Arabidopsis thaliana: one gene and its partners. The protein of the gene in region 3 interacts with the protein of the main gene of each other region in a pairwise test. Each region holds a gene or a part of one and is shown on either strand. Other genes may lie near its edges. The genes, in order: UTR2, UTR3, AT4G21570 and RUS3.

The links.
Region 1: the proteins of AT4G21570 (region 3) and UTR2 interact in a protein complementation assay, tested with the Arabidopsis thaliana proteins (one large-scale study listed by BioGRID).
Region 2: the proteins of AT4G21570 (region 3) and UTR3 interact in a protein complementation assay, tested with the Arabidopsis thaliana proteins (one large-scale study listed by BioGRID).
Region 4: the proteins of AT4G21570 (region 3) and RUS3 interact in a protein complementation assay, tested with the Arabidopsis thaliana proteins (one large-scale study listed by BioGRID).

What each region holds. Positions count from the first base shown.
Region 1 is NC_003075.7:12,058,288-12,066,686, forward strand, and holds UTR2 (UDP-galactose transporter 2), read right to left. Parts: upstream 4,572-8,399; 5' UTR 4,200-4,571; coding exon 4,077-4,199; intron 3,716-4,076; coding exon 3,687-3,715; intron 3,606-3,686; coding exon 3,404-3,605; intron 3,314-3,403; coding exon 3,071-3,313; coding exon of another isoform or gene 3,048-3,070; intron 3,002-3,047; coding exon of another isoform or gene 2,974-3,001; coding exon 2,872-2,973; intron 2,789-2,871; coding exon 2,648-2,788; intron 2,452-2,647; coding exon 2,344-2,451; intron 2,296-2,343; coding exon of another isoform or gene 2,262-2,295; coding exon 2,031-2,261; coding exon of another isoform or gene 2,020-2,030; 3' UTR 1,897-2,019; downstream 1-1,896. Other genes in the region: AT4G23000 (Calcineurin-like metallo-phosphoesterase superfamily protein), read left to right, coding at 1-16, 117-218, 493-790, 948-1,096, 1,175-1,360; AT4G23015 (uncharacterized protein), read left to right, coding at 2,020-2,295; TRM11 (uncharacterized protein), read right to left, coding at 8,044-8,399.
Region 2 is NC_003070.9:4,909,238-4,916,677, forward strand, and holds UTR3 (UDP-galactose transporter 3), read right to left. Parts: upstream 3,931-7,440; 5' UTR 3,793-3,930; coding exon 3,689-3,792; intron 3,500-3,688; coding exon 3,402-3,499; intron 3,307-3,401; coding exon 3,176-3,306; intron 3,062-3,175; coding exon 3,031-3,061; intron 2,946-3,030; coding exon 2,842-2,945; intron 2,750-2,841; coding exon 2,628-2,749; intron 2,531-2,627; coding exon 2,125-2,530; 3' UTR 1,856-2,124; downstream 1-1,855. Other genes in the region: FLP (Duplicated homeodomain-like superfamily protein), read left to right, coding at 72-239, 335-629, 725-867, 947-1,214, 1,300-1,410; APK2A (protein kinase 2A), read left to right, coding at 6,622-6,688, 6,958-7,304, 7,399-7,440. UniProt on the Arabidopsis thaliana protein: Essential sugar transporter required for the transport of UDP-glucose from the cytoplasm into the Golgi and the endoplasmic reticulum. Essential for pollen development and involved in embryo sac progress.
Region 3 is NC_003075.7:11,469,797-11,475,551, forward strand, and holds AT4G21570 (organic solute transporter ostalpha protein (DUF300)), read right to left. Parts: upstream 3,226-5,755; 5' UTR 2,940-3,225; intron 2,480-2,939; 5' UTR 2,474-2,479; coding exon 2,207-2,473; intron 2,124-2,206; coding exon 2,001-2,123; intron 1,915-2,000; coding exon 1,330-1,914; 3' UTR 1,039-1,329; downstream 1-1,038.
Region 4 is NC_003070.9:4,718,252-4,726,438, reverse strand, and holds RUS3 (root UVB sensitive protein (Protein of unknown function, DUF647)), read right to left. Parts: upstream 4,866-8,187; 5' UTR 4,723-4,865; coding exon 4,601-4,722; exon of another isoform or gene 4,492-4,600; coding exon 4,434-4,491; intron 4,354-4,433; coding exon 4,294-4,353; intron 4,218-4,293; coding exon 4,179-4,217; intron 4,089-4,178; coding exon 4,026-4,088; intron 3,926-4,025; coding exon 3,869-3,925; intron 3,757-3,868; coding exon 3,693-3,756; intron 3,598-3,692; coding exon 3,514-3,597; intron 3,422-3,513; coding exon 3,339-3,421; intron 3,249-3,338; coding exon 3,119-3,248; intron 3,044-3,118; coding exon 2,951-3,043; intron 2,829-2,950; coding exon 2,690-2,828; intron 2,619-2,689; coding exon 2,575-2,618; coding exon of another isoform or gene 2,474-2,574; coding exon 2,286-2,473; intron 2,193-2,285; coding exon 2,094-2,192; 3' UTR 1,924-2,093; downstream 1-1,923. Other genes in the region: AT1G13780 (F-box/RNI-like/FBD-like domains-containing protein), read right to left, coding at 125-406, 502-642, 731-1,666, 1,747-1,758; AT1G13760 (uncharacterized protein), read left to right, coding at 5,338-5,476, 6,016-6,074; AT1G13755 (Defensin-like (DEFL) family protein), read left to right, coding at 7,201-7,258, 7,377-7,678.

The DNA of each region.
Region 1 (8,399 bases), 590 kb from region 3:
TGAAGATTCAAGCAGGGTAAACTTTTTCTTGTTTCTTGAACCTCTTATCCACGGTTACTGATTCGCCTTCTTTTCTTTGCATTCTGATATTTTATGTTGTTTGCTGTTATTTGCAGATTGCTCTGGGAAATATTTTAAAGTTCAGGAAAAAGAACTGGCAATTTGATTTCATTGGTGGCATCATATACTTTCTCTTGGTCTTTTCCTTGTTCCCTCAGGTGCGGTTTTACACATCTTTGACTTTATCAAACTCTTTTTCATATGAACTGTTTCTTGTTTCTCCATTTTATATTTATTTTCTCAGCAATGCAGCCTGACTTGGTCATTAAGACTTTTTTGTTAAAATGGTACACATTGTCAGCATCCACTATTAAATGGTCAAACTGAGACAGGCCTTGCATATCTGTAGTAGTGTTTTTCCTGTGCGAAGAAATTTTTATGCTCACTTGCACTCACGAGAAAGTTTTTATCTTCATTCCTTGTTGGTTTCAGTGTGAGCTAGGCCATATCTTACGAGGCGATTCATTTTCTGGCCACTTGGGGAGTTTCTTTGGCACAGTTTGGAGCTCCTTTGTGTATGTAACAGAGCAGTCATATGTGTCTTTCACCGGGGTTCTTATGTTGCTAATAACTGCAATTATGTTTGTTCCCTCAAAAATATCTCGGAGGAAACGACTGTTAATTGGAATTCTTCATGTTTCTGCACACCTGATGGCTGCTTTGATTCTTATGTTGCTGTTGGAACTCGGCATAGAAATCTGTATTCAGCATAAGCTCCTTGCAAACTCCGGTCAGTTTCCTTTCCATAGAATGTTGTGGCTTTCCTCATTACAATGTCATTGACACAAGTGGACAAAAAATATGTGATCCTACTTTAATTGATATTTTTTTGTATCTGTGATCAAACCTTAATGGATTTTGAGATTTTCAAACTTTTTGCTACACAGGGTATCATACATTGTATCAGTGGTACAAATCAGTAGAAAATGAACATTTTCCGGACCCTACTGGCCTCCGAGACCGTATTGAGCAGTGGACGTTCGGATTATATCCTGCCTGCATCAAGTATCTTATGTCAGCATTTGATATTCCCGAGGTAAAATCGTCAACTTAGCCTTCGTTTTAGCTGAAATAGAAAACTATTTTTCAGCCGAAAGTAAAGTATTTGACATAGGTGATGGCGGTTACACGGACTAACATCTGTCGAGAAAGGAATGGGAGTCACTTTCTCGAAGCGGAGCAAGCCATCTATTATGCTTCTGTGTTCCTCTACTTTTGGGTTCTTCTCAACCCCTGTTGTATCTTTGGTTTTTGGAAGTTACTTATATATATCCATCAACTGGCTTCACATACACTTTGATGAAGCATTTTCTTCACTTCGGATCGCCAATTAACAAATCATTCACCCGTTTCCAACATCAAACCTGATGGAGACCTTGAAGTCTTCACTCTCGGAGTAGACAAGGTGAGAAAAACAACTCTCGAAATGACAAAAGAAAAAGTTTGTGATTATAGAATTAAACAGAGGAGTGTATGTGATGAATGAGTACAGGTGCCAAAGGAATGGAAGCTGGACAAGGACTGGGATGCAGAGCCGAGATCGACTGTGAAAATGAGTCATCACAGAAGGTTTCCAAGCAAATGGTGTGCAACAACATTGCAGCAGGATCCTGTCAACACCGTAAAGATTGTCGATAAGTTTGTTATTCATAGATCAGAGAAAGAAACTGGAGGATCTTAGATAGAATCAGGTTCTTCACTGATCCTGTCGTTTAGAATGTAGTCATTAGCGTTTCCCGCTTTATGAATAGGCTTTGAGACGAATAATGCTTTCTTCTGAGAGTGATGACAAAAATAATTCATATCATAGTTAACAATTTAACAGCTCAATCTTTTGCAATTTCACTTTAGAATCTAATAACAAGTCTCTGACACAACTTTAACTCTATTTTGTGTCTCCTTCATCCAACATTATTCTATAAACCCTTTGAATTTGTGAGATAAAATATATATAAATACATGGCACATTCTCAAACCAATGACTTCCTTTCTTCGTCCTCTTCTCTATCACCATCGCCTCCTGCGATCCTAACCGCTGGTCTCGCCGGAATCTTGGCCGGAGCTTTACTATCCATTGGAACCATCTTCAATACAATCCCCATTGCTATCAACAGCAAGCCTGATCCGTGCTGTTCCGTTAACGGCTTTGTGAATATCAAATACGACAGCAACAATGTAACCCCTTTCCTAGCCGTTGTTATCTACACACAACGAAATGTGATTTTAGACCATTGAGTCAATTAAAATACAAATGAGTATTCAAAGATAAGATTAGATATTTACCAAGGCAGTTGTGGCGGCTCCAAAGAGAGCAATAAGCGAGAGAACGGAGACTTGACCGATAAATGTGGCCATGGCTTCAAATACAAGCACTCCATACACATACGGATGCTGCAAATATAAACAAAGCACAATTGGTTTTAAATATGTCAACCAATGAATCATTAAACCGTTTGACTATAAAATATTCCACGTTGGTACTTAAGTTATGGAATCAATGAATTTAAAAGAGACAATTTGGCTTTTAAAAAGTTTGGCAGATTCAGAGGCACGTCGTCGGTCAATGATCTCTCTCATTTCGTGGTACCAAGAATCCTACAAATTTTGACTTTTTCTCTAAACTGAGTCCAACTCCGGTTTGAATCATAAACCGAGTCAAATCTATAGAAGTACTTTCAAAGCCAAATAAAAGGTTCCACTCTTTGTCACTTTCACTTAAAATGGACGACTATCTCATAAGGTTAACTTGGTTTGGTTAAAGGTTGACCAAAAGTCAAACCAGAAAAAAGAGAACAGAGGTTGTTTACTTACTTGTGCACACGCAGTCCACGCACGAAAAACCTCTCCGGTTAAAACCATGGGAACGAACAAGAACGGTAATCCAACAACTGTTGAGCAGAAAAGCATCTCCATCTGCACAACACACATAACAAGAGTTAATCTCAGAAACGAAACAAAACAGACCGGTAAAGGAAAACCGAAAGAACCGTGTTTTCTTTAGTTTCCTTGCCTGAGTTGTCTCAGGATTCATTGTGAAGATAGCTTCTTGCAGATTACCCAAGAAAGCATCCATGATCAATGCACCGGTTATCATCATAATCCCAATCATACTGAAATTTGGAGACATTTGCGCATCGGCTAATGTGAATAGGATCAAACCAAGAACAAGCAAGAACGCTGAAATGTATTCATGGACTGGGTATTTTCTTCTAAGACCGGGTATAAACGCTCCCATTATCATCACCGGTAACACCTAAAACATCCGAAAGATGGTCATTCCGATCATTCTTTAAACTCAATTTAAACTCATTGAGACTGTAATTGGGAAATGTGGATCTATTACCTTGGTGGATTTGAACATGATTTGAGCTGGATAATTGAGATAAGCCAAAGATCCTTTGGTTAAACCATGTGAACCCATGAGAACAGCAGAGAGTTTGACATAAGTTCTCATCGGATTAACTATATGCTTTGTGGTAAAGCCTTGAAGGTAGATTAGAAACAAGTAGACAAATCCTTGTATAAACGTGAAATACCACCCAAAGCTACAAAGACAGAGCAAAATCCCATTGTTAACTTTTGTTCAAATCTAAAACTTAAAAGAGTAATCAAAAGTTGACTTTTACCTAAATTGAAGACGATTATAAACATATTCCTGCAAAACCAAAGAAAAATAAATCAAGTCAATGATCATATATGAGTACTTGTAGATCCAATCACATTCTCTAAAATCTGTTTTCTTTACAAAGATCACAGATTTTTTGTGATCTCTCACAAGTTTGGAGAGAGTTTAGTTCGTCATGCAATTTTTTCTTCTTCCTCTGTTTTTTTTTCTCTCAGAAACAAAACATCAAACACTTAGCATGCAAGAGATTGAAAATGCAAAAAAATTATAAATTTACGAGATTCAGGAGCTGGGTATGTGGAATTATGACAAAGAACAAACAAAAACATTAACGTTGATTGATTATGTATCAAAATTCTCGAATCAAATTGCAAAAAAGAGAGAAACGAACCTCGCAAACACCGTTAACGAGATAACCAAAAAAGAAACCAGAAGTGCAAATGAGAAACTGTTGCCAAGTTGGTTTATCAGACAAAGAGATTCCAAACAGAGATCTTGTTTGTTCCTCCTTCATTTTTCTTTTCTTTTCTTTGAGGAGAGATTCAAAGGAAGAAACCCAGAAAGTGAATTAAGAGTAATTGATCAAACACATGTAAAGTGATGACTCATAACGGTATTATTATCACTCCTCGAAATAACGAAAACCACACCACAAAAAGGGTAATCAAAGAATAATTAAAACCAAATTCTTCACTCTCCTCGAGAAACTTGATGAAGAGGGAAGAGAGAGTTAATAGATGTATTGGTAAAAGAGGAGGAGGAAGAAGAGAGCTTTTAAGAAGGAAGGAGAAAACGCATGAAGAAGAAGAAGAAGAAGAGACTCGTCGCGTGATTTGCCACTTCGGGACACGTTTTTTCTCCATTGAGCGTTCTTCTTCTTCTTTTTACGTTTCCTGTTACTCTTTTTTTTACCGGTAAAACTCAAATTTGCAAGTAAGACCCTTAACGTTTATGTATGTTTGATTTAAGTCTGAAACTTTTGTTTATCTACACACCACGACAAAATTTGCATTACCAGCGTGGCACATTTTTTTGTCTTAAGTCTTTTATTGCATGATCTCATGTTTGCTAATTACGATCATATCATATTATTACCAGCTTGGTATATATATATATATAAAATTTGGGTTTTAATGACAGTTTGTGTTGTATATGTGTTGTTTGAAAAATGTATTTATAATAAATTTTGGTATAAAAATAAGAAAAATAAATGCTATGACTTATCAAATAAAATTATCTAAATTTGTCTATAAAAAAAAGTATCAAAGTAAAATGGAACAAATAAGGGTAAAAATTGATATATAAGAAACATATCAAATCAGATCTTGCTAGTCAAAATTGTAAATTTTTATCTACATTTAGGATCTGTATATTGACTATGTTTTCTAAATAACATTTGTTAAAAAAAGTGAAAGAATTCAAAAAAGTAGTGTGACAATTTTTACAAAAACCTTAATTAGAAGTCTAAAATCATATGATATCATCAAATCTTGATATAAAGTAAAAAGAAAGTGTGTCACTGACTCTACACATTAGAAAACTAGAGGCACTAATAAAAAAAATAAGATAAACTTTAGGGGTGCGTTTTCATATTTTCTTTATTTGATGCAAAAGAAAGTTACTACTTCGAGAGAATAAGAGAATAAAAAGGAAAATTTAATAAAGATAATCAATATGGCTTACGAGTCAACTTTCCGGTTTAAGACAGATTGAGTCATTGTCTCAATAGACGCCATTACAGTCTGTCTTTTACAATTTCATCATCTTTCCTGAATTTTGTTTTTGTTATTTTCGGAAGTGATTGTTAAATGCGTTACAGAAGTTCTGGTCATGTCAGAATTACATATTGACATAACATCTGGACACGTTTTGGTAAAGAAATCAATTTACTCTTTTTCTTTTCATCTTCTATATCCATATTGAGCAATAAACTTCACACATGCATATTCATTCTTTCACCAACAGAGTAGTTGTTTTGTTCTAGTTGAAAACTCTAGTGAACAAATTTGGAGGAACATATACAAAATGTGTAAGCAAAATAATGACGATATTTAGTCAATGAATTGAAATGTTTTAGAAGAATTAGGTGGCGGTGTATGGTGAACAGTCGAAATATACATTATTATTGGCTATTAGTTCTAAAGAAGCGATTATAATCGTCGTATATGAAATAGCATATAGACAAAATGGTTTGTTTTAAAATAGACCGTTTAATAATAGCTTTGATTAGTGACACTGATAAGTTAAAATGGAATAGAAAATAAATTAACTATGAGTCTATAGTCATACAAATATCATATATGCATATAGGCGTCGCAAAGAGCCAAAGACCATATTCTTTTTTTTTTTTTGGTCAAAAGCCAAAGACCATATTCTTTTCTTGAAATACCAACGCGAAACTCAACAATAAATCTGATATTTATTTTATTTTTTGTTCAAAGGCTTAAATGAGAGAGCTTACTGCAATATTACAACAACAAAAAAATTGCAATTGGTATTAGAGATTTTTTCCTATCAAATTTATTTCTATTAGAAGGTCAAGCTTTACGTGCAATTGTATTAATACATAAAGTTACAAATGATAATCTCTACACATAACAAAATTGATCTTACTCGTAGATATTTTTCTTGCTTAAAACCATTTGTGTGGTTCATAATAAACGGAAGACTTCGATCGAGAGACTTTTGCATATGCAAGCAACCCATCACATTTCACAAATTGACAACAATATTATTGCTAGAAAACTATAGATTTATGTAGATATATATTTTATTCTTTTTTGTTAAAAAAAAATCAGACATTTACATTCAAACTCAAGCGAGTAAAAGAATCAAAGTCGTTAGAGAAACAATCCAGTGACGTACGGTCAAATAGTGTGGGCCTTAGCTTCAGCCATTTTGTACAGAGTACCGGAATCTTACCAAACACCGAAGGCAGGTCCAGTTACACTAGTTAGCGGTTACGTCTCCTTCTAATTTTCATAGATGAATTAGTTTTTTTCTTCTAAATAAAATACGAATTTTTAATAAGATTTTGTGTTATTATTGATTATGGACACTGTTACTGCCGTATTATCATGCGCAAAACAGGGTTGGCAAACTTATAATAGGTGATACTTGTACAATTTATCTATATACTTATTAATTCAAATTCAAGTATTTGTGTAGCTACTACTACAACTAGACGTGATAGTCAGCATATATGAATTATTCTTTCTTTGCTAGGAATATTTTTAAAATATTATAAAACTAAATTTTTAAAAGAAAAGAAAAAAAAATTATACACTTATACGTATAATTTTAAACAAGTAGTACTACTGTACAACTTATATACAAGTCCTAAAACTTAGTAAATTATATTTATATCGTTAAATTTGGCTTATTAATATTAAGGCATATAACTGAACATAGCACGAGTATGACTTTCTTGTATACAATAAACAGAACTATACAATATATATGTCCTATGTGACTACGTGTGATTACAAAATGCAGTGATATAGCCTATAGGTAATTTGCCCCCAAAAAAAACAAACTATAGGTAATATGTCGCAATTTTTGGTTAGTGCAACAAATGCAAATTATTAAAATCTAACAATATATTAGTAAACAAGTTTTCAAATATCGAAATTGTCTCCATGCGTTCAAGCGTCTCTCTCTCAGCAACAATGATTTGGTACGTAATTCTATTACATAGGGGAATTCGGTTTATTTCCTAAATTATGGGTTTCTTTTCTTACTGAAACAATAATTCAATTTTTGGGATTCGAGGTTAGATATATTTATGCACAGAAATTAGGTTTTGCTTTTAAAAAAAATTGTAAGAGAAATTTGTTACAATTTTCATTAAATATAAAATTAGGAGGATGCATGAGATCTCTAGTGACTCAAGTCATGGTTAACTTTAAACTGATTAGTTCTATATGTATTAACTTTACCACTCCTACGTTAAAGTTAATCCAGCTCAGATTAGTTGAAGCCCAAAAAAAACTATAGTTTAGGGCCCATTTCACTTAACGGCCGTTCATTATGCTTGAAACCGCTCAACATTAACGTGGTAATTTATTATTATCCTTTTTAGACTTATTTTTCATGAATTTAGATGATACAGTAGATGTTGTCATTAGATTTGTACTAGTTTACTTTTAATGTGAGATTCTATCAACCTTCTGTCGCTGAGATTTTACCGTAATCAAGTTCAAAGTTTAGAAGTTTTTGTTTGTTTCATCAATCTCTCATTACTCATTAAACATTCAGACAATATATGTCATACCATTTACAAAGATAATAGCACTATATATCATAAATTTAGTAATGCATATAGTATAATACATACATATGTGGCAAAGAAAACAGTTTCACAAGGATATATCATGGATAAGTTCGTCAACCAAGGAAGTGAGGAAACCATTCCCCAACTCTTCGACCACATACTCTTTCTCATCCCCATTGATACAACCCCATTTCATTTCCTTCACATAAATCTCTCTTTTCTCGCTCACTTTCCAACTCATGAACATATTATATTCATCGTCTTGTCTCCTCATCACCCATTCTTCAACTATCTCCACCAACTTATCCTCGTCTCTTGTCTCATTATTATTGTTTTCTTTGAAAAAATCTAGCAACACATTGTCTACTACATGAGATGCCAGTAATTGGTTTTGTTCCTCGATTATTCTAGACTTCACTAGAGCAAACAAACGGTTTGCTC
Region 2 (7,440 bases), on a different chromosome or scaffold from region 3:
GGTGTAGGTGAAGTCATCATTATAAGACCAGAGTGGTTAAACTAATGTTCTGTTCGTTATGTGTTTTGTAGAACTGATAATGCTGTGAAGAACAGGTTTACAACACTTTGTAAGAAGAGAGCCAAGCATGAAGCTATGACTAAAGACAGCAACTCAAACACCAAAAGAATGTTGTTCTTAGACGGTATCAGTACACCGCGAAAATCCGAGAATGAAACTCCTATTGCTAAGAAATTGAAGTAAGTTTTGTTTCTTTTTTGATCAAATAAACTTAAGTTTCCTGAGTGTGTTCACTTTTCACAAATTTCATGGGGGTTTGTTGGTTATTATACAGGAGAAGTCACATTCTAGATCTCACAGAGATCAGTAACTATGGAAGGGCCGAGGCATGTGTGAATCAGCAGATAAGGTCTCCATTTTCGGTTTTAGCTCGAAATGCCACTGGTATTGATAGCTTGGAAGAACAGAATCAAACAAGCAATGTGAATGAGAGTGATGGTGAAGGGATGTTTCTTAAGAAGGATGATCCAAAAGTGACAGCTTTGATGCAACAAGCTGAACTTTTAAGCTCCTTGGCGCAGAAAGTTAATGCAGACAACACAGAACAGAGTATGGAGAATGCTTGGAAGGTAAACCAAAAAACAACAAACTTCGCAGCATATCAAAATAGCGAAAAGTTTCAAGCTTACTAATAACATACCTCTTGTTGTATGCATATATACAGGTTCTTCAGGACTTCTTGAATAAAGGCAAGGAGAATGATTTATTCAGATATGGAATACCTGATATAGATTTTAAGATCGAGGAATTTAAGGACCTTATAGAGGATTTGAGGAGTGGTTATGAAGACAATCAATTATCTTGGAGGTAGCTTTTCATCACCACAAAAATTTTGTGTTCATCTTAAGGTTTTGATTGTATAACCATTTCATTTGATGTTCTTTAGGCAACCTGATCTTCATGACTCACCAGCTAGCTCTGAGTATAGTTCCGGATCAACCATCATGGTGGATCAGTCTGGTGATAAAACACAACCATTCTCAGCAGATACTCAGACAGAACATAAGCAAGTTGGAGAGGAGTTGCTCGTCCCGAAAAATCCTGATGAGAATATGCCCATCTCAGGCGAAGAAAAGTTCAGCTCGCCTATTCAGGTCACGCCATTGTTCAGATCTTTGGCAGACGGTATACCAAGTCCACAGTTCTCCGAAAGTGTAAGCTTCGCACCTTCTTTGTTCATCATACAATACTTAGGCTTTGAAAAAACAATGAGTCTTAAAAGACTGATTGCTTTTGTAGGAGAGGAGCTTCCTGCTAAAAACACTAGGGATCGAGTCCTCATCTCCATGTCCAAGTGCTAATCCTTCAAAACCACCCCCTTGCAAAAGAGTCCTTCTCCATAGCTTGTAAACCAACCAACCATCTCTCTCATACCCTAAACCGCGGTTTAGTCTCCATGGAGACGTAATTTTTTCCACTTTTGCTTAGATTTCATATTAGGTTTTGCAGCCATATCGGCCTGGAAGTTTTTGTGAAGCGGGCATGCCATGATCTGCATTCCTCCCTCAAGGTTTTTAAGTTTCTTTCCTGGTCCTAGAATGTTAACGGTAACATTTTCTAGCCCCATCAAAGAATGTTCTCAAGAATCTGCCATATACTCAGATTCAGATTTCTCTTTCTTTTCTTACTTAACATAAGGAAGCCATCTACAAAAGAAGGCACCAGTGTGTCTTTAAGAAAAAATTCTTTGGTTTGTCTCTAAGGGCTTTACTCAGATACATCATCTGAGCATTTTCCCCAGATTTCTTGATTTGTTTTCATCATCTCTGTACAGAATCTCTATCACATATATATAAAGAAGTTTTCCAGAGTGTAACTTTAGGAAAAATGAAAAACTCAGAAGGAAGAGTTTGTTGTATTGTTAAGACAAATATATATGAGTGGAAATATATGATTTGTCTTTTGGTTTGATATATATAAGTTTCTTCTAATGCATTAGTTTACATTTTGCTAATGGACTAAGCTTTCTTCTCTCTAACTTTCAGACATATTTGGAAGTAAAAAGTTTCCAAATCAAAAACAATTTTCTTGAAGAATTAAATATTTTGATCCCCAATCTCAGCTTCAGGCCTTTTTCTTCTTCTGCATTCTCTGCAGCTTCCTCCATTTCAGGTAAATTTGGTAAGACAATCCACCGAACACCATCGACACACATCCCCATTGTTTGGAAGATAACGGATTCCCGCTCAAAACTGAAGATACCACGATGCTTACAAACTTCCTGGTTGTGGTTATGGTCGTGTTAGCTAGAGACCCGAATCTGCTTATTGTCAAGAAGATGAAGTTTTGGCCTACTGCACCGCATAAACAGTACATAAGAATGTCCCATGCTGCCTCAGGGTGTTGCTTGCAGAACTGCACAGCTTCAAATCCGCTCCCATGTGGCAATCCAAACATGTAGACCATGTTGTATATGGTTCCCCATAAATTCATTCCCAGCATTATGTCCCATGCGTTAGTTTTGGGGTACCTGTATCCATGTATGGCGATGATTAATGTCCAACATCTAGACCATGTTGTAGATGTCAGACTGGGTTAAGTATCTGACAGAATGTCAAGAGTCATACCTTGCGGTAATGGAATCCTGGGTTGCGTTTGTGAATCCATCAAAGGCAAGGTTTAAGAAGCAAAGCCCGTAACCAAGGGGTGCATTGGGATGTGCTAGCTTGCTGATGGTTTTAGAGCTTGTCTGTAAACCAAGTCAAAGACGGTTTACTACATTTCCACAGACAAAGTATAACAAAGATTATGATCAAAGTTCCTGAATGCAGATTTGCCTACCTTAAGAAGGGCAAACATAGATACTCCTCCGGCAACAAGAAAGGTGCAAAGATACTCAGGCAAAGTGTATCTTATGCCATAAACTAAGGAGCCCATCAGCATAACTACATGAAAGAAAAAACATATATAAGATACACATAGCAGCAGTTGAGAGCGATTATGGATTGATGCTCTAAATTGACACCTCACCTGGAATCATTTTGGAAGATTTTGCAAGGACCTGCAAGAAGCAAGTTTTGCATCAATATTACTTCCCAAGAAAGGTTATTACCTCAACTATCAACCATAATCAAGAAAAATGAGGTTTTTATTACACTAACAATGCCTAATTTACCTGAGCTGGGTAACTAATATACTTTAAAGCTTCAATGCCCATAGCAGGACCAATGGTATTAGTAATGCCAGCACTCCAATACGTCCACCATGGGGCTCCACCAGAACCTCCGTTGGACCAGAGCTTAATCACTGCTCATAATCAATCAAAAATACTTCAGTTCCATTTATTCGTCTGTTATAAACTTATAATTCTAAGGAATAAACAATGAAGATGCCCTACTCACTTATATAAGACCAAACCAAGCAGATTACATTCTGAGCCAAATTCAGAAATGCAAGATGCTCGAATCTCTTCCCATCTTCACCAAATTTCTTCGTCGACCTAATTCGAAAATGTTAGAGTTCTATCAGCTACATTTCTATAAATTTCCAATAATTGCAAACGCATCACCAACCAGGATTCCGAGAATAGAAACAATCTCGAACAAACAGAATCGAGCAATGTCGAGAGAAAATAATCAACGAGCTAAAATAAGATTGATCGATTTCGACCCTAACGAGTTTTACTTACAAGGTCTCTTGAAGAATGCCTTGGTATATGTAAGCTGCCCAGATCCCAGCGACACAGAACGACAATAACAGAACTCGCCGGAGACCGGAACCGTGAGATTCCATCGCCGCACGTCGCTTATTGTTTTATCCGACGGAGCTCCGGCGAAAATTTGAATTTCAATTTTACGCTATTTGATCAGTTTTGCGATCAAATTATGAGATCGGTCTGAAGTGGAAACGAAAGTTATTAGAGAGAGTGTAGGAGGCGCGAGAAAGACGTAGATTTTCCACGTGTAACTGTGTCATTGGCTTAATAATCTGACATGACACTTCTGATTGGCTATAGGACGTGGATTTATTTCTGGAATCCAAGTCATATGCACATTCATGTCTGAGATAGGAATGGGAACTATGTGCCGTTTTATTGTCATGAAAACGTCACGCAGTTTCCTAGAACTTGTAAACGGATGTTCTTTTTACAGCTTGGGCCTTAATTTGATTAAGCAAACTTGCACACAGCTAATCATGTCAGTTTGACTAACTGATGAATTCATACAAATCTAAGATCACTTGTGGTAAGAAAATGAAAGAAAAAGGCGTATATACACAAATGGAGGAAAGTTGCCAACATGATTTAATTGATTAAAATTTAGTGATGACCCATTGTTAAGATTACTAAAACAAAATATGATATATCTTAAAGTAAATGTGACAATAACGTCAACATAGCGAGAAAAGTTTGAAATATCGAATTTCCATTATATTAAAACAAGGTATCACATGCATGCACTCATGCATAGTTCATTATGATTTGAGTAATTTTCTATACGAATAATATTATACTATATCTCAATGAAAATAGAAGTTATATATATTGGGAAACGGAATTTATATGACATACTTAATCCTCATGGGAGAACCAATTATACATTTTGAAGAGTCAAAAGTCAAAACTCAAAAGAGTGACTCTTACCGGATACAAAATGAAAATAGAAGTCTTGGTGAGATAACAAATTAATGTGTAACATAACAATATAATATCATAAAAGATTCCAAATGGGGCTTTTGTCCACACGTGATATGCAATATGCAAAAGAAAAAAGAACTCTCTTTCGATCTGCCGGTCAATAACAATGTGAATATAGATTAACTGATTAATAAGTAGTTTCTTGGGTCAATGCATGGGATATTATATTTAAGAAATACACCAAAAATGTATTCGACGTTAGCCACCACGTTCCATTAAAAATTCAAATCTAAATGATGATTACCGTCGTCTACATCTATGATTACAAATTTTTTGTCTACTATGCGTTTAGTTATTTACCATGGTTTGACGATTATATATATAACACACATAAATTATGACGGTTTAACGTTGTCTCTTAACTCAAAACTTAATTTTACAAAAATATTATTTAAGAGTTGAATCTCATACTTTAATTATTCATTTGGTCAACTAGAATGCGAAAAATCCACAATACTTCGTAACTAATTTCGGGTCCTTTAAATCTTGATCACCTGTTGATCAACAAAAGATCTACACATAAAGATTGATTCATCCATTGACTAAACTTTTATTTATCGAAGAAAGACTATATATATCTAATGCATGCATGCCATATGCACAATAATCTAATAGTAAATCCAATACGTCTCAGAAAGATAAAATCGTCCATAATACCAAATTTTATTCTAAGGTTTTGATATCTCTCATAATTTGGAAGTGTATGTAAAAGTTTCTTAAACATAAATATAACATCCAAAGAAAAGTTGTAAACACTTAACATCTTGATTGAAGGGGAATCTCGCTAATAATTGTGACTGAACGATAGTAAGTATTATTGTAAAATATCGATCAAAATTTCAACGATATGGGCGATCCAGACCCACCACTTTGTTGTCCCTTAGCAGACGTCAACCATGACCATAATTAGTTAAAAAAAACACCAAACAAAAACCACAACTTCCTTTTAATTCTTTTTAAATTCTAAATTTCAGACTAACAAAAAGTATTCATAAGCTGTTTCATGTATGAATTTAATATCATGAATACTAATAACTTGAGCCATTAACTTTAACCAAAAAAAAAAACTTGAACAATCTAATATAATTCCCTGTAACATTTAAAAGATGGAGATGGGAAAACAAGAATTCTAAAGAAACATTGTAAAAATGAAACAGAGACAAATATTTTCAAGCAAGTCTTGTTTCATTTCATTTCTGTTTGAAAAATGACAAGTTTAAAGTCATGTCTCATATGTGTAATATTATTAACTTTAAAATATAACAAAATAAATATCTTTGATTACTTTTTGAAATGTTTTTTATCTCAAGAATTTGGAAATTTTCGTTGATTGATACATTATAAAATCTGAAAATTAGATGTGAAACACGACTTTTTGTCCACCACCAATCCTCCTAGAAATTATCAGTTTATCACTCGATTACTGAATGAATGAATGAGTTATCTCTGAAAAGTTGTCGTACCATTTATTATCCCACGCGGATTTACTGCCGTGAGCATGACGTTACCGTATCTATCTCAAATTACTAAAATTGTCCTTTCCGATGGCCGTCTAAAGGAACTAACTCGAGGGCATTTTGTCATTTTGAGAAATTGTTATGAGTTTGAGTACAAAACAAAAGGACACGACGACTTTGTATTATTTGCTTCAAATCCTCTGTTCTTCACCTTCCTTGTTCCTTCTTCTCTCCTTCTTTTTTATATAGATTTTCCTTTCATGTTGTAATACTTTTATTCTATTAGCGTTCATATTCAGCTAAACAGACATTGCGCCGCCGTTAAGTCGAAAGGATAGAAAGAAATTAAAGAAAGAAGAAGCTTGTTGTCTTTGCTTCTTGAGGCTCTCTTCTTGTCTTGATCATCTGTTACGTTGTTCCACGAAAAGAACAGTAGCTTTGTCTCTCCATATAGGGTTATTATCTGAAATGGGTAATTGTTTAGATTCATCAGCTAAAGTGGATAATAGCAACCATAGCCCACATGCTAATTCTGGTAACTATTTCCTCTCAAGTCTTTATTGCTTAATTGGGTTCTATGTTACAGTTTCTTGGATATTTCTTCTTATTCTCAAAATGGGTTTTTCGAATAAGTAATTTGTCCATCTCTGGATCATCAAAAGTCAAACTCTTTTGAATTGCTCTGTTTAGTACATGTGTTTGATCCATGTTTGTATCTGTATTGATGTTCTTAGCATCATGAGTTTGATTGAAAACACACCAAACTAAAGAGATTTTACTATGTTTGAATGATCATTTTAATAGCTTCTTCGGGCTCTAAAGTTTCAAGCAAGACAAGCCGTTCAACGGGTCCTTCAGGACTAAGCACAACTTCTTACAGCACAGATAGTAGTTTTGGGCCATTACCAACACTTAGGACAGAAGGAGAGATACTTTCATCGCCTAACCTAAAAGCTTTCACTTTCAACGAACTCAAGAACGCGACTAAGAACTTTCGTCAAGATAATCTACTAGGGGAAGGAGGTTTCGGTTGTGTATTCAAAGGATGGATTGATCAAACATCTCTCACTGCTTCACGTCCCGGTTCTGGAATCGTTGTTGCTGTTAAGCAGCTTAAGCCTGAAGGTTTTCAAGGTCATAAAGAGTGGTTGGTAAGTTCGGTTTCTCGCCCTTTTTCGGTTCACCGTGATTAATGAGTGTGTGTTTGCTGACATTTTGAGATATTGTTTTTTTTTTTTTTTTCAGACTGAAGTAAACTATCTTGGTCAACTTAGTCACCCAAATCTT
Region 3 (5,755 bases):
AGTACCAAGTTAATAAATCACACTAAGGAGATTAACATCTAACCAAAACAAGAGAAATGCAGGTGATCATAGAAGATAGAAAAGAGGAATCATTAAACCAAAAAGCTTAGGAGGTTATCTCAAGAACCAGAAGACATTGATGAACAAAAACCGAGAGAGAGGATGATATGAAATCATGATCATAATCACTAAAGCTAGAAATGGAGAAAACCCAATGAATCTTTACCCTAAATCATTGAAACCCAACAATCAAAATACCAAATTTCTACGTTCTACTGAAGCAAAAACCATAATTTATGAAGTGAGAGAGAAACTCACAAGGAAGCAAGTTGGGAGATTTCGATGGTAGAGCTACTTCTCCGGATTATAGAGGACAAAGATATGGAGATTGGAGAGAGAGAGAGAGAAGAGAGATTGGGAGATTGCGTGTGCTCACACGACACCTCTTTATGATGATGAATTGATGATGAAAGCTTTTCACGCGGTATGAACAAAACAACACGGAGGCAAGGCAACGAACTCTGTCTCTGTCTGGATCAACAACAAATCAATCACCATCGATTCTCGCGCAAATTAAATTAAATATAAATTTGATCGATTTCGAAAAACGAGAACTCGATTAACCCTAAATCGGAAATAATCTGACCTGTGGGCTGTGGAGTTGACAATCGGGTTATCAGAGAGAATCGTTCGAGCAGAGAGCCAAACCAATTCAATCCAGAGACTTTTTGTGTTTAGTCCTTTCGCACGCCTTTTCCCGTATATTACGTGCGACTTTTTTACCCTCCTTCAATTAATACATTACTCCAATTTTTATCTTCACAAATAAATTATTTTAATATTTTCATACATAAATGAGCTTTTGATTGGTTACAAATTCAGAACGATAGAATCATGAAAAATAATTTGATGATTTTTTTTAAGATTTCAACAACATTACTTTCGAATTTTACTACTCAATGAGAACGAGTGTTTTATTTTGTCACAGAAGTAAGAAGAATTTGAGTATTTGAACTGATTTTACAACAATTGAACAAAGACTAGAGTAACAATGGTGAAAAAGTTTCATTTCATGCATACGGGAAAGATATTAATATGAGTAGTGTTCTTTACTTCTTTTGATGAAAAGTGTAGTGGCTTTAACATTATTGTTCATATCATCTAAATTTTCAACTTTATTGTTTCTTTTTTCCCCAATCATGGAAACCAAAAGTTGTAAAGCAAAACCTTTAGATCTTTCTCCTCAACATAACAACATACAAGATCACCAAAGATTGGCTATAAAAATGGCTGGTTTAAAACCAGTCCATGTCCACTCTAACGCCCAAATCATTCGGTCTTTTTATCGAGTTTCTTCTTGGTCTCGCCGCTATAAGGACCAGCATGATAAGCGTGTTTCTGAACCGCAGCGAAGATAACCATCTCAAGACATACCAACACATTCTGAATTGCTTCTTGGATTTGTTCTACCTCCAACCAGAAATGGTGAGATTTTATGAATCCCATTGCCACCAGTATGTCTAGTGCTATTCCCTGCAGTTTCAGAATCAAAAGAATCTTATGAGTATATCCAAACATGAGAAATCTTGTTTTGAGGGGTTTACTGATTAATGCAAACATTACCTGCCAAAAGACAAAGAAGACAATTCCTTTGATGCAGAGGAACTTTGCGAGTGGATTATGAGGAGCAAGCTCCTTAGCAAACACATGGTAGAATATCACAAGAGAATACAAGGCCAGAGAAACCGAGAAATTGACAATGATAGTGAATGTCCAGCTCAACCATGAAGGATAAAACCCGATGAGCTGTAAAGCTATCATCAAAGTGGAGCACACGGGTCGAATGACCACAAATTGCCATGTCCAGTATTTCAAAAGTTTAAGAGTGTGACGATCCAAACGGACTACATGAGGCTGTCAAAACAATAGACACAAAGCTTTTAAGGGTAAAGAAGCAAATAGATATTAGATGAAATCATGCAATGAAGATAGAGACGAACCTGAAAAAGAGTCATTGGGAAAGAATGGTGAATCTCTCTTCCTTTGATTCCATCAGGCAAAATGTTTTTGCTCATAGATATGTTTAGATAACTATACATCAATGCCAAGAATTTGGCAATGACCTGCAAAATATCGAAAAAAATTGGTAAGTGTCGTCTCTACAATATGTTGTATACTAACACAAGCGATAAAACAATATACTCACAAGAGCTTCGTAGCATTCTTTGATGGATTCAAGAAAGAGGAAGAAGGTTTCACTTCCTTTGACTTCTAACAAACCAATAAAGGAAACAACGGCGTAGATAGGAGCCATAAGCACAATGATGAGTATAGCCTTTTGTTCCTTAGGGTTCTTCCAGTGGAAGAGATGCTGCGATACAAGCTGTATCGTGAAATGAAGTGTGAGCAAGACGGAAAACGCCGAGCAATAAAAAGTGATCTGTGGAGGCTTCAGTTTCGTTAGGTCCATCATTGTGTCCTGCATCAAAATTAATACACATAACTCTTTAGCATCAAGAAGCCATCAGACTTTGCACAAGAATTCTAATCAATCAAACATCTAAATCTTCACAAATGTTTCAGCATTATATTCAGCCAAATAGCTCCACATCAAAATTCACTCTTTAGCTTAACATTAATTTAAACTGTACAATGAAAAGCAAACATCTCATGAGATCTAGAAAGCTAAATGGTTGGAGCAATTAGATATCTCCGTATCAAAACAGAGTATATAACCGAATTAAAAACTCAAACTTTATAGATGACTGGGAAAACGGGTGATGAACTCGATAAACCCAATCAGACCCATTAATTTGAAAGGTCGAATTCTGATTTTGTCTATGTTCCCAAGACTGATTCAAAGCTAGATAAGCAAAATCTCTGTAAATCTGAACAAAGCAAAATTAGCTAACCAGAGAGAGAGAAAGAGAGGAACTAACCAGATAAGAGCTAGGGAAGAAGCGAAGATGAGACTCGGAGAGTGTGAAGAAAGTGAATCAGATCTCTTAGTAGTTAGATCATGAAGAATTGAGGGAGCATGAGACCGCCATTAATGGAGTCACAAACGTGGTCGTATTATAAAAATGGCGACGCGTTTACCACGTGAGAGAGACGCTACGATTGCATAAAAAGAAGTCGGCATTGGTATACATGTGTCTCTCTGATTCGTCCACACGGTTTTGTCGCATTTGTTGGAGAAAAGATAAGTCTTTTAAACAGAGGTCGGTATGGTATGTATTTGGTTTCAAGGATTCATGAAATTGATATATGATTGTGATGTAAGTTATTGATTTTTTCTTCATTCATTACACGTCATGGGCTGAGAGAAGAAATCAAAAGAGAGGATTTGTATCTTTGAGCCCAAAAAAAAAAGGCACCATCTTGGACCATTGGTTTGGTTGGACCAAATAATATAATGATGTGGTGAAAAGTTTTTTAGCGGTTATGAAAATCAAAATAAAAAAAAAAGGCGGTAAGAAAAATGGCAATGCAGTAGAAATGGTGGTTCAAAAATGGTTTTAGAAGTGAGATCATCTTTATGCTCATTTATCTTGGGTTTGTTCGGGCTCTAACACCATGTACAATTTTAATCATTTGAAAATAAGTGGAAAGATCTATACATTTCATATACTTTATATACTTATGTTGAATTAGCTCCACATCTTATTGGTAATGGTTTGACAGTTTGAATTATAGCAGAAATAAAAATAAATATATAGATTTAAGAAATATAATTGCTCCAAATGAATGACATATAGTTGAATGATTGGAAAAATAGGTGCAAATGGTTGCCTAAAATTAAGAAGTTGAAAGAGTTGAATGAGCATTTATCTATTTTTTTTACCATTTAAGATGAATAAGTTGGAAAAATGATTCAACCCTTTCAACTTAAAAAGTTGGAAAAATAAACTAATTATAAAGAAATTTTTTCAACTTGTATATCTTCTATTTCACAGAGAAATGAGTTGAATAATATTCAACTTTTATTTTTCAACTCAAAATTTCCAATTATTTCATCTCTATGCAACCATTTTCAGCAAAACCAAGTTGAACATTATTCAACTCATTCATCTACAAAAGAGTAGATGAAATGGTTGAACAAGTTTCTTTTATAATTTGTTCATTTTTCTTTTTTTTTTGTTGAATGAGTTGAATCAATTTTCCAACCTATTCATTTCAAATCGTAAAAATAAAATAAATAGTTATTCAACATTTTCAACCTTTTATTTTAAAACAACCAATTCATCTAAATAATTTTATTACTTTATAACAATCGCTTGTTGAGGAGATGACTTAATCACTTTTCATTTTCTCTTCGTGAATTCGTTTTACTAAGTTTCCGTTACTTTCAAATGTACTCAAAACAAAAAAAACAATCGCTTGTTACTATAATAAAAGATCGATGAAACAAGATTCTAATGTTAAGCATTTTGAAATGTTACGAAACCGTACAAACAATTTATGTGATTAACGTCAAATGCATAAAAACGCAAACACAAAAAATAGCAGTTAAATCTTATAAAGATATTTCATAAAATATTACACACTCATGAAAGGTCTTAAAAGCTTAATTAGTTCTCATTATCAAAGAAAAAAATAAAAGCTTAATTAGTTCTTACCGAAAAAAACAAAGCTTAATGTTGATGAGTGAACGAGTCTTTCCACGTCGTCCACACTGTCCTCGTCGTCCTCGTTGTCTACGTCGTCTTCGTGGTCCAGGTCGTCGTAATTGGAAGTGGCGAGAGAAAATCCGATTTGGCGGTGCCCAAAATCAAATATCGTATGATATCTCTGAGTAAAGGCATTCCAAGAATATTGTAAACAAATTAATATATAAATTTAATTGATAAGTAATTTACGAAACAAAACGTACTTAATGTGACGAAATGGAGAGATAGTCCTCCGAAGTGAAATAAAAAGCACATCGGGCAAATAATTTGCTACCGCTGCTGCCACTTTGGCATTTGTAAATATCATCCTTTCCATATGACTAGAAAATAGAAAACGAAAAGAGAAAGTATTAAGTTAACATAAAACAACAAATAATAATAAAATGTTGTAAATAAAACTTACACGTCTACCACAAATTTGAGAGTAATCTCTCGGGTAATGAGATAGAAAAATAAATATAAATGATAAATTGCATTAGTAAATAGTATTTGATACAAAATAAAATTTAAACATTAAATCCTTTACTAACCGGGGGACCGTATATATACGGACAGCTCATATGAATTAAAGTTTTATGGGTGAGTGATCCTAAAAAGAAAAAGAAGATGTAAAGTTTATGTACTGAAAACACACATATATAGATAGACTCATTATTGTAATTAATTATTACATGATATCCGTTGACTTGGATGGAATGCATCCTAATGATTCATCTATTACCTTCAATGAGGTTGAAGTATATATGCTCAACGACAAAATGAATCTGATCAACATCCCGAACGATTGTTTCTCCTCCCAAATTATAGCTGTCACCATAATGAACTTATTCATAGTAATTCTGTAGCCACACCGACAATATATTTCGATGTAAAAATCTTTGATCCATCATATTTGTCCTAAAATTATTTCTAATTTATTTCTTATTTTTATTTGTTATCTAAATATACCTAATCTCATAGCTCTATTAATATTTTGACGTTAAATCATTGTATAATAAATAAATTGATGTACGTAACATGTTCAAATATATACATTTATTTTCAGTAGACTTTTAGACACACAATTTATATGATTAGAGTCGAAT
Region 4 (8,187 bases), on a different chromosome or scaffold from region 3:
TTCTATGACCGAGTTTTATGGTCAAGGAATCCAACCAAAACTAAGAAGAAGAACAAAATGATCTTTAAAAAATCAGTGTTTCATGAGAAAACAGACTTTCTACACATGATACTCATGGCCTCATTCAGCATCTAATGATAATTTGACATCTCGGAGAACGTTTTGTGAGTTTATTAAGTTCCTCGTAGATATCTGATTCCGAATAATGTTGAGGACAACCCATGAAACTCAGAATCAGTTTCTTGAGGACTGCTGAGTTTTCGAGAAAGTAACTCGCTATTTTCATATCCTGTTCCCCCCAGTCAAACAATCCTTTTATCTCAACATGTTCAAGAGTCGATACGAAACACCGAGGCACATTTACGAGTTCAAACTTCTCCATCACCTCCACTGGACATTCAGTTTCCTGAAAACACCAACAAAAGTAAAGCTAGGTATTCAATTATAAACATCCACAAGAGCCACAATGTTGTTACGCCAAAATCATTTAAGTTTTTTTACCAAGATTAAGTGTTTCAGATTCGGGAAGCTCTCAAGAAAGGCTGGCAAAAACTGTAACAAGGAGCTCGGGAACGCAGCCTCTACACGGGATAAGTTATTGAATTTGGGAATCAGTCCTACTTTTGAGTAAAGATCAAGGGCCTGCAACAAGAAGGAAAGGAAAAAATGGATGCTAGTGAGAGTTTCCCAAGTAGAAAAAGACCAAAATTTGTTGTACAAAAATATATACCTTCACTGTATTATGAGAGATGACCATATGTCTTACACTAGATATCCCGGTGAGAAAATCACGGATTTCATTTCTCTTTGGTAAGTCCTCCGGATCAAACATCCAGCCAAACCCGACAATGAATTTGATATCAAGGTCAATCATGAATAAAGAAGTAAGGTTCTTTACCACGATTCTATCGAAATGGTCTGCTTTAAGACTCATATACTCTAGTCCAGGAGCATCAATCTCAAATGTCTGTGTCACTCTCCTAAACAAAGAAAGTTTATGCCTAAACGGAATAGAAAACCTCTTCAAGCTTCGAGATCTCACACGCGTAACCACCAATTTATCATCATGAAGATAAATCAGTTCTTCAAGAACAGGACAACCTGAAACAAGCTTCTCCAGATTCATAGTACCACTACTATCCCATCGAACTTCTCGAAGATGCATGAATTTGAGACAAGGCAAATAGACAAACCCTGGATCCTCAAGACCCGAATACGAAAGCTTCAAAGAAACCAATGTCTTACACGAATAAAGATTCAGAGGCATGAACTCGATACAAGGATAGTCAATGCAATCATCAGCATCTCGATAATAGGTATTGCTCTCAACATCTAAAACTCGAATCCCGCGGCTAATCGCGTCACCAATCCGATCCGAGAACTTAATGATCTTATCTCTACTGTAATCTACCTTGAATTTTTGAAGACGTGACTCATTGTTAAACTGGAGAAATCTGTCAATGAAATCAATCAACAGTTTTTCGTTGTTGTTCTGAAAGGGGAAATCACGGCAGTTCAAATCAAGTCCGGGAACATTAAGCCATAGATTCTTCCATCTAGTCGATAAAACACTCGTCTTCACAGAAGCTTTAGTCGGAAGGTGTAACAGTATTTGACTAATCAAAGATTCCGGCAATTCGCTAATTCTATCAAACCCAGGCATGACCTAATAGCATTAACAAACAATAAATTAATCGAATTCCAAAAACTAGGGTACAAGTGTCTGACTATAAACGAAATACTCACCGTGGATTCCATTCGCCGGCGGAATTATTGGCCGGAGTTGTGGAATTAGCTTCAGCTACGAGCTAAACGATGAACATGAAGTGATAATGAAAGAGAATCACAAAATTGAAGTATTTATACGTTCGAAGCGGTTCCGATTCCAATTTTTGCGTTTCCAAAAAAATAAAACGGTTGCCATTATTATAATTCTTTAATTTTCCATTAATAACAAACGTTATACAATGTTAAACCGACATTTTACGGTTAAACCGGTATCGGTTACATGTTTTACATGACTTAGAACTAACATATTTTTGTATGTTTGCAACGAGTTAACAAACTATTTTGATCTTGAAAGGCGATAAAGCTCAGTCGAACTTAGCAGCGGAAGTGTGAGATATCCAATTAGCTCTCCAAGTAATGGAAGGCGAAAGAAGACGCTCTGTTTTCCAACCTCCTGATCTCAGCTACATGGGAAACAACAGAAAGAAAAAGAGTGAAAACAGTAGCTTTAGTGTCATAAAAACACGGTTTAACTGGTCCTAGTGATTTAATCTTACCTTGTGGAGCAATTCGTCATAGTGTTTATCAATCCAAGCTTCTCCTTCTGAATAAAAAGATGTGCTCTTTTCCATAAGGTTTGCCAAAACAATGGCATGAATATATGATTTCAACACATCTGCAGGTTTTGAATCTTTGTGCAAGATCACACTAACATTTCCCTTTATGTGAGCCAATAAATACTTAGCTGCAGGAGTGTACAACAACAGACAAGAACCGAGCTTACGTCAAGTATGGACAGAGAAACTAATGTCCTTGAAAGATTGTGGAAAAATAAATCAATCAAACCATTCTTGTATGAAGAAGCTCCAACACCATTTAGCAGCTGCAACCTGCACACAAATATGTCAAGCTTGAGCCGATTCTTTACCCGAAAATTATGATAATCTAGTATAGAGCTTACATATCTAGACGAGGGAGAGAGGAAACTCTCACACCTAACTGCACTCTCTTATGCAATGGCTTTGAATTCGTTGACCTCAATGAAGTGGCCCACAAGGGCAATACACCCTCCATTGAAGAAACCTGTTCGGGAGAGAGAACTGGCAACACGTTTAGTTAAAGAAAGTTATTGGTATATGGTGCAATAATAAAGAGAAACCAATAAAAAACAAAGGAAAGCCACTGAAAACTTGAAAGAATCAATGGCGCATTTCGAAATTACCTTGGCCAGTTTGAATGAAATGTGTTAGAAGAATTGAACTCCTCTCAAAGTTTAATGAATTCAATACAAGACACCGGACAGCTCTATAGTTTGCTAAATATATAAGAAAGGCAAACAGTGAGAGAAATTCTGATTTGATCTATGCTTTAACCTTCATTTGTGACTTACCATACATATGAAACACGGTGAGAGAGAGAAACGAAAGCCAAATAGCCATAGGGTTTCCAGAGGTAAACCGAGCTAGCAACATTCCCAATGACATACCCATCATAGTTGCCATAGTCTCTTGGCTTCCTTCCTTTCAATAGATAAAATAGAAGCAAAGAATTACTCAAAGTTCACATTTATAGTTTCTATATCATTCACAGTGACAAGAAGTAAAGAGTACCTTAGCAGATATATCCGCTGCATTGTCTTGAAGAGCAAAGTGCTGTGTTAGAGCTGCTCTGGTTGCTCCACTTGCAACACCAGCTAATAGCCAAGATTGAAAAAAGTTAAAAACCGATGTATCAATCCAAACCGAAGTCTTAACTTCAATGTTTGATGCAAGAAATGATACGCACTAAATGATCTTGATAGGCTCCCTAAGCAAACCACAACGATAAAGGCAGATGGAAACAAAGGAGAAAGAAGGTCCATTAGCATTCCTGCAATAAAAGCAACAAAGCTTGTAGTCATTCAACTGAGAACCAAATACAGGCAATTAGTATCAAGTGTGATGTGACAACTAACTTTTACATACCAATATCATTCATAAGGTCAGCAACTAGGCGCCACATTTTTGCATTGCTATCCAGGTTGGAACCCTGAAGAACAGAACAGTTCCCATTAAATAAGAACGTAACCAATCTAAATCTTAAAGAAAAGGGAAGAGAATCGATGTGTATTATGATTGGGAAGAATCTGCTACATAGGCACCTGATAAAATGTGAACAATATACCTCCAAGCATCCCAGTAAAATCCCTCAGAAACCACTGCATAATACACAAGATAGAATCACTATTCTCCATTGCGCTTTATAGTTCTTGAGAGAACTAGTGTGAAATGTTATATGTAAGCAATGGAAAAACTCACCTGAAATGTAGCACCTATAACAGTTGCGGATTTCTCACCAACGCCAATTGCACTCAAAAGAGCCTGAAAATAGTCCAAATCAGAAATGCTGCAGCAGACAAATTGGACCAAAATAGAGAACTCAGAAGCTCAAAAACTTTAGCTTTAGCTCACCTGAGTGGAAAGCATCATCTTTGTATAAGTTGAGAGGCCCTGCAACAAACATAGCCGAGAGTCACAATTCAAATTTCACAGTAGCTATAAGGCATACAAGCATATTCTCACATACCTGTAATGTGTCCCATAACTGAAACCCTACATAATCTGGAGTTACACTGCCAGGAAAGCCCTGCACTAGACAAAGTACAATTCAGCCAAACCCTAATCCGGAGGACAGATTCTAAAGGGAAAAAGAGAGAAAACACTTGCCTCTGGTACAAATGCTTGAAGAACTCGTCTCCACACATGATTAAAGCGATTAGCAGACCTATGAATCACTCACAGGAGACGAAAACCCAAGAAAGTTTCTCAATTTTGTTGTGAATCCACTGAAACTATCAGATTTGGATTGATTTCAAAGAGGAATAAAGAAGAACCTTTGGATAGAGAGAGAAGAGGAGGCAGTGATGGTTGCTGTTTTGAATAGCTTAGTGGAAGAAGAACCATTCCATTCTTCAAGAGTAATCGATCCGCAATCAGAGACTTGTTCTTCTCTCATGGCGAATTTTGGCTTCTTACGAGTGAAAAGAATCACTTATTCAAATGTTTAGACTTTATGAGTGTTTTGGACTTTGTGTTGGGTTTCAATTGCAATTGAATAGTCCAATGACCCAAATGTGATTGGACTTTGGGTTAGTAAAAGGTACGTTTTTGGCAAACGCAGGTCACATGTCCACATCATAGTCTTCTTTTGGCTCCCAATTGGATTTCTAGATTTAGAAACACTTAAACCAACAAGTCACGGAAGTGTGTGAAAGGAATGTTAATGCTAATGATCACCATATCTTTATATGCTTTGTGCCTATGTTTCTAGGTTTTGATCATCAGTCACCAACTTTATAAATGTTGTTTCCTACAAGTTATCTCTAGAACACAGTTGTATCACATTCATCTTCATCTTCAGACATTTGTTTTCATGATCTTCTTGTGAGAAATGGGAAACTTGTTGATGTTTTGGTGACTCTTGTGTCAATTCAAGAGGGAAAATCTCATCGAAAGCAACCTTTGTCAGGAGTTGCAATTCATAGGACACTGTTTGATGTGAATGAAGAAGCTTATGTCAAAGCTTCTCCAACAGTTCTCGGATTTGATGTAAAGCTTTGTGTTATTTTATATGATAAAAGCTTTACATTGCACCTTTTTCTTTGTTTCTACAGTGCTTCGATTTGTCTTACAAGAGTTAAATATGTCGATCCACCTCTACTGTGTTCTACGCCTATCAAGGTCTTTTCCTCATCAAGGTTTACTACGAGGTTTTGTGCTTCTCTTCTCTGCAATGAGTCTTAAATTTCTTTACAAATTCTTTAAAGTTTGATGTGTTACTAGTTTCTCTTCTTGTCAGGGTCTTTTAAAAGTATATGCAAACATCATTGTATTATATTAGAATATATATATATATATATATAGTATTCAGATTCATTATTTCAACTGATTAGATCTATGGAACAAATTGAGAGAGAAGAAGACAAGATTCTGAATTTGAACAGCAGCTAAAAAGCAAGAACAAATTTGACTTTTTAATTCCCTCTCAGAAAAGAAATGACGAACCCAAAAGTTCTTTCTAACTTAAGAAAAACTTGAGCAAAACTTAAGCAAAACTTAAGAAAAATTTAAGAAAAAAACATTCCATTTTCTTATCAAATTAGTTCTAATATTATCGTAGCTAGTGCTCAAATATCACCTAGGTTCATAACAGAGAAAACACATGGTACATATTTGGATTTTGGCCACAACTATTTGAGAAAAACTGTATGTATGTATTCGGGATCACGCCATCCAACCATCCTTGCAGGAGCCATTAAACGGGACTATTCATGTTGTTGCGGGAGGTGGAGGAGCCAGTCTAGATGATTTCTCTTGCATGCAGTCCAGCTGGAGCCTGCTCGGCGACAAGGACTTTGGGTTCGTCACCTTAATTGTCGTCGATCACTCTACCATTCAGTTCGAGTACAGGAGAAGCAGCGACGCAGTCATCCACGACTCTTTCGAGATAGCGAGGGAGTACAAAGAGATACTGGCGACTTTCACTTTGTAGGATAGGGAGAAATTAAAATAAAACGGCTATCTATTTTTATTTTGGACGGTTAATTGGAATAAAAATATCTGGTTTATTTAATATTGTCTTTATAAGTAAGTATTCGTGTAATAAACGATTGGTCGATTCTTAGTTTTTACTTGCGAATCTGAAGAATCTGATGATCGATGACGAAGATGATTCACTAAAGCCTCTTCTTCAATTGGAAGGTTCTGGTTCAGTAAAATTTTCCGGTTAAATTACTCAATAAGACGGTTCAGTGGTTAAGTGGGTCGATGTCTATTACTTAAAATGGATCAAGGTTTTAGAGGTTTTAAATAATGGATCAAATTAATTTCGTTTCTGAATCTGTGTAATCTTTTGTTGTTTTCAAAATGTTTTAAAGTTATAAAGAGGGCACCGTGCCTGTAGCAACATGTAATGATAGATCTCGATTTTGTTCCTATTCAATAGTATTTTGGTCACTAAATTATGTTTTTTTTTTAAGCATAAAATCATCTTTGATTTTTCTTTGATCCAATACTTATTTAGACATAAGCATTTGGACTAATGATTTTAGAAAATTTGCGTGGGTCAATCATCATCTAATATAAAGCATAGTCCACTAAATCTGATAAGAAATATATAGATAGACATTTAAATCGAAAAAAATCCTTTATTTCCAATTTTGCAACTCTTATTTGGTAAACATATCTAGTATTAATTAAAACTTTAATTAGATTTCCATGTTTATGAGAACTTTGTTGTTAGTCAAAAGAATCCAATAACAATTATACTTCAATTTCCACGTGTAAATATTAAAAAAAATAGTATCTAACCATCGCCTAAACTGGACTATAAAAATAAAAAAATCGATGAAGAATACCTTCAACTTCACCATTGCAAGATTTACCAAACAACCAAAAACTTCTCCAGTGAAGGAAAAAAACATCGACTTTGAAAATGAAGATCGCTTCCTTAAAATTGTTGTTATTGGTTTCTCTACTTTTTGCCGTAACCCGTAAGTAAACAAAAAATATTTAAAGTTTCATTTTGTGCTTTTAGTATTTTTTATTTACATAGTTTTTCATTGATTAATATGTTTTTTTTTGTTTCTTATCTCTTATTAATATATGCAGAAAATGGAATTAGCATTCAAAACAGTGAAACTTCTGTCAACCAAAACTCATGTATGCCGAATGAACCAAGATGCACCGGTTGTCCAGGTGGTGGTAGTGGTGGTTATCGTGGACCACCACCTCCATGTTGTAAGAATGATAGTGATTGTAAAGCGCATTGCCCAGAGGGAGGTTATTGCAGCAACCAATGCGACTGTGTTTGTAATTTGGTTAAAGTGATGAATAATGATGTTCGTTGCCAAGTAGATACTGATTGCAACATGAAATGTTCAAAGCAAGGCTATTGCAAATTGGCATCTTAAAGAAAACTCCTTTGTATATGCATGCATATATGATGAATGCTTAAAATAAATAAATATATTTCAATAACCGCAGGCGTTATACTTTTAGTGACTTGATTTATCTCTCTTTACTCGGATTTCATGCAAAACGGCCTAACAACAACAAAGGACTTATTATTCTTCTCTCATTGGATGGCCCATATGATATCCCAAAAGCATTGACACTTTGGATTAGAGATCATGTATAGCACGCCTTAGAAGAAGGATTTTTACATGAATGTCATATGGATCCAATGTATTAATCTTGTTTATGTTAAATTCTTGAGTAATCTTTTTCTCATTCAGACATTAAAAAATCTCGAGTTCACTAAATTTAAGCAATTTAAAATTCCGCTAATCAAAACTTGATGTGAATTCTTCTACTCCAGTGCAATGTAAATTGGCCGTTGACGAGCAAAGTCTTGACTTTTTTATATCATTGAGGGGGAATCTCAAGACTGGATATTCTAATTATTAAAGACTCTTCTTAT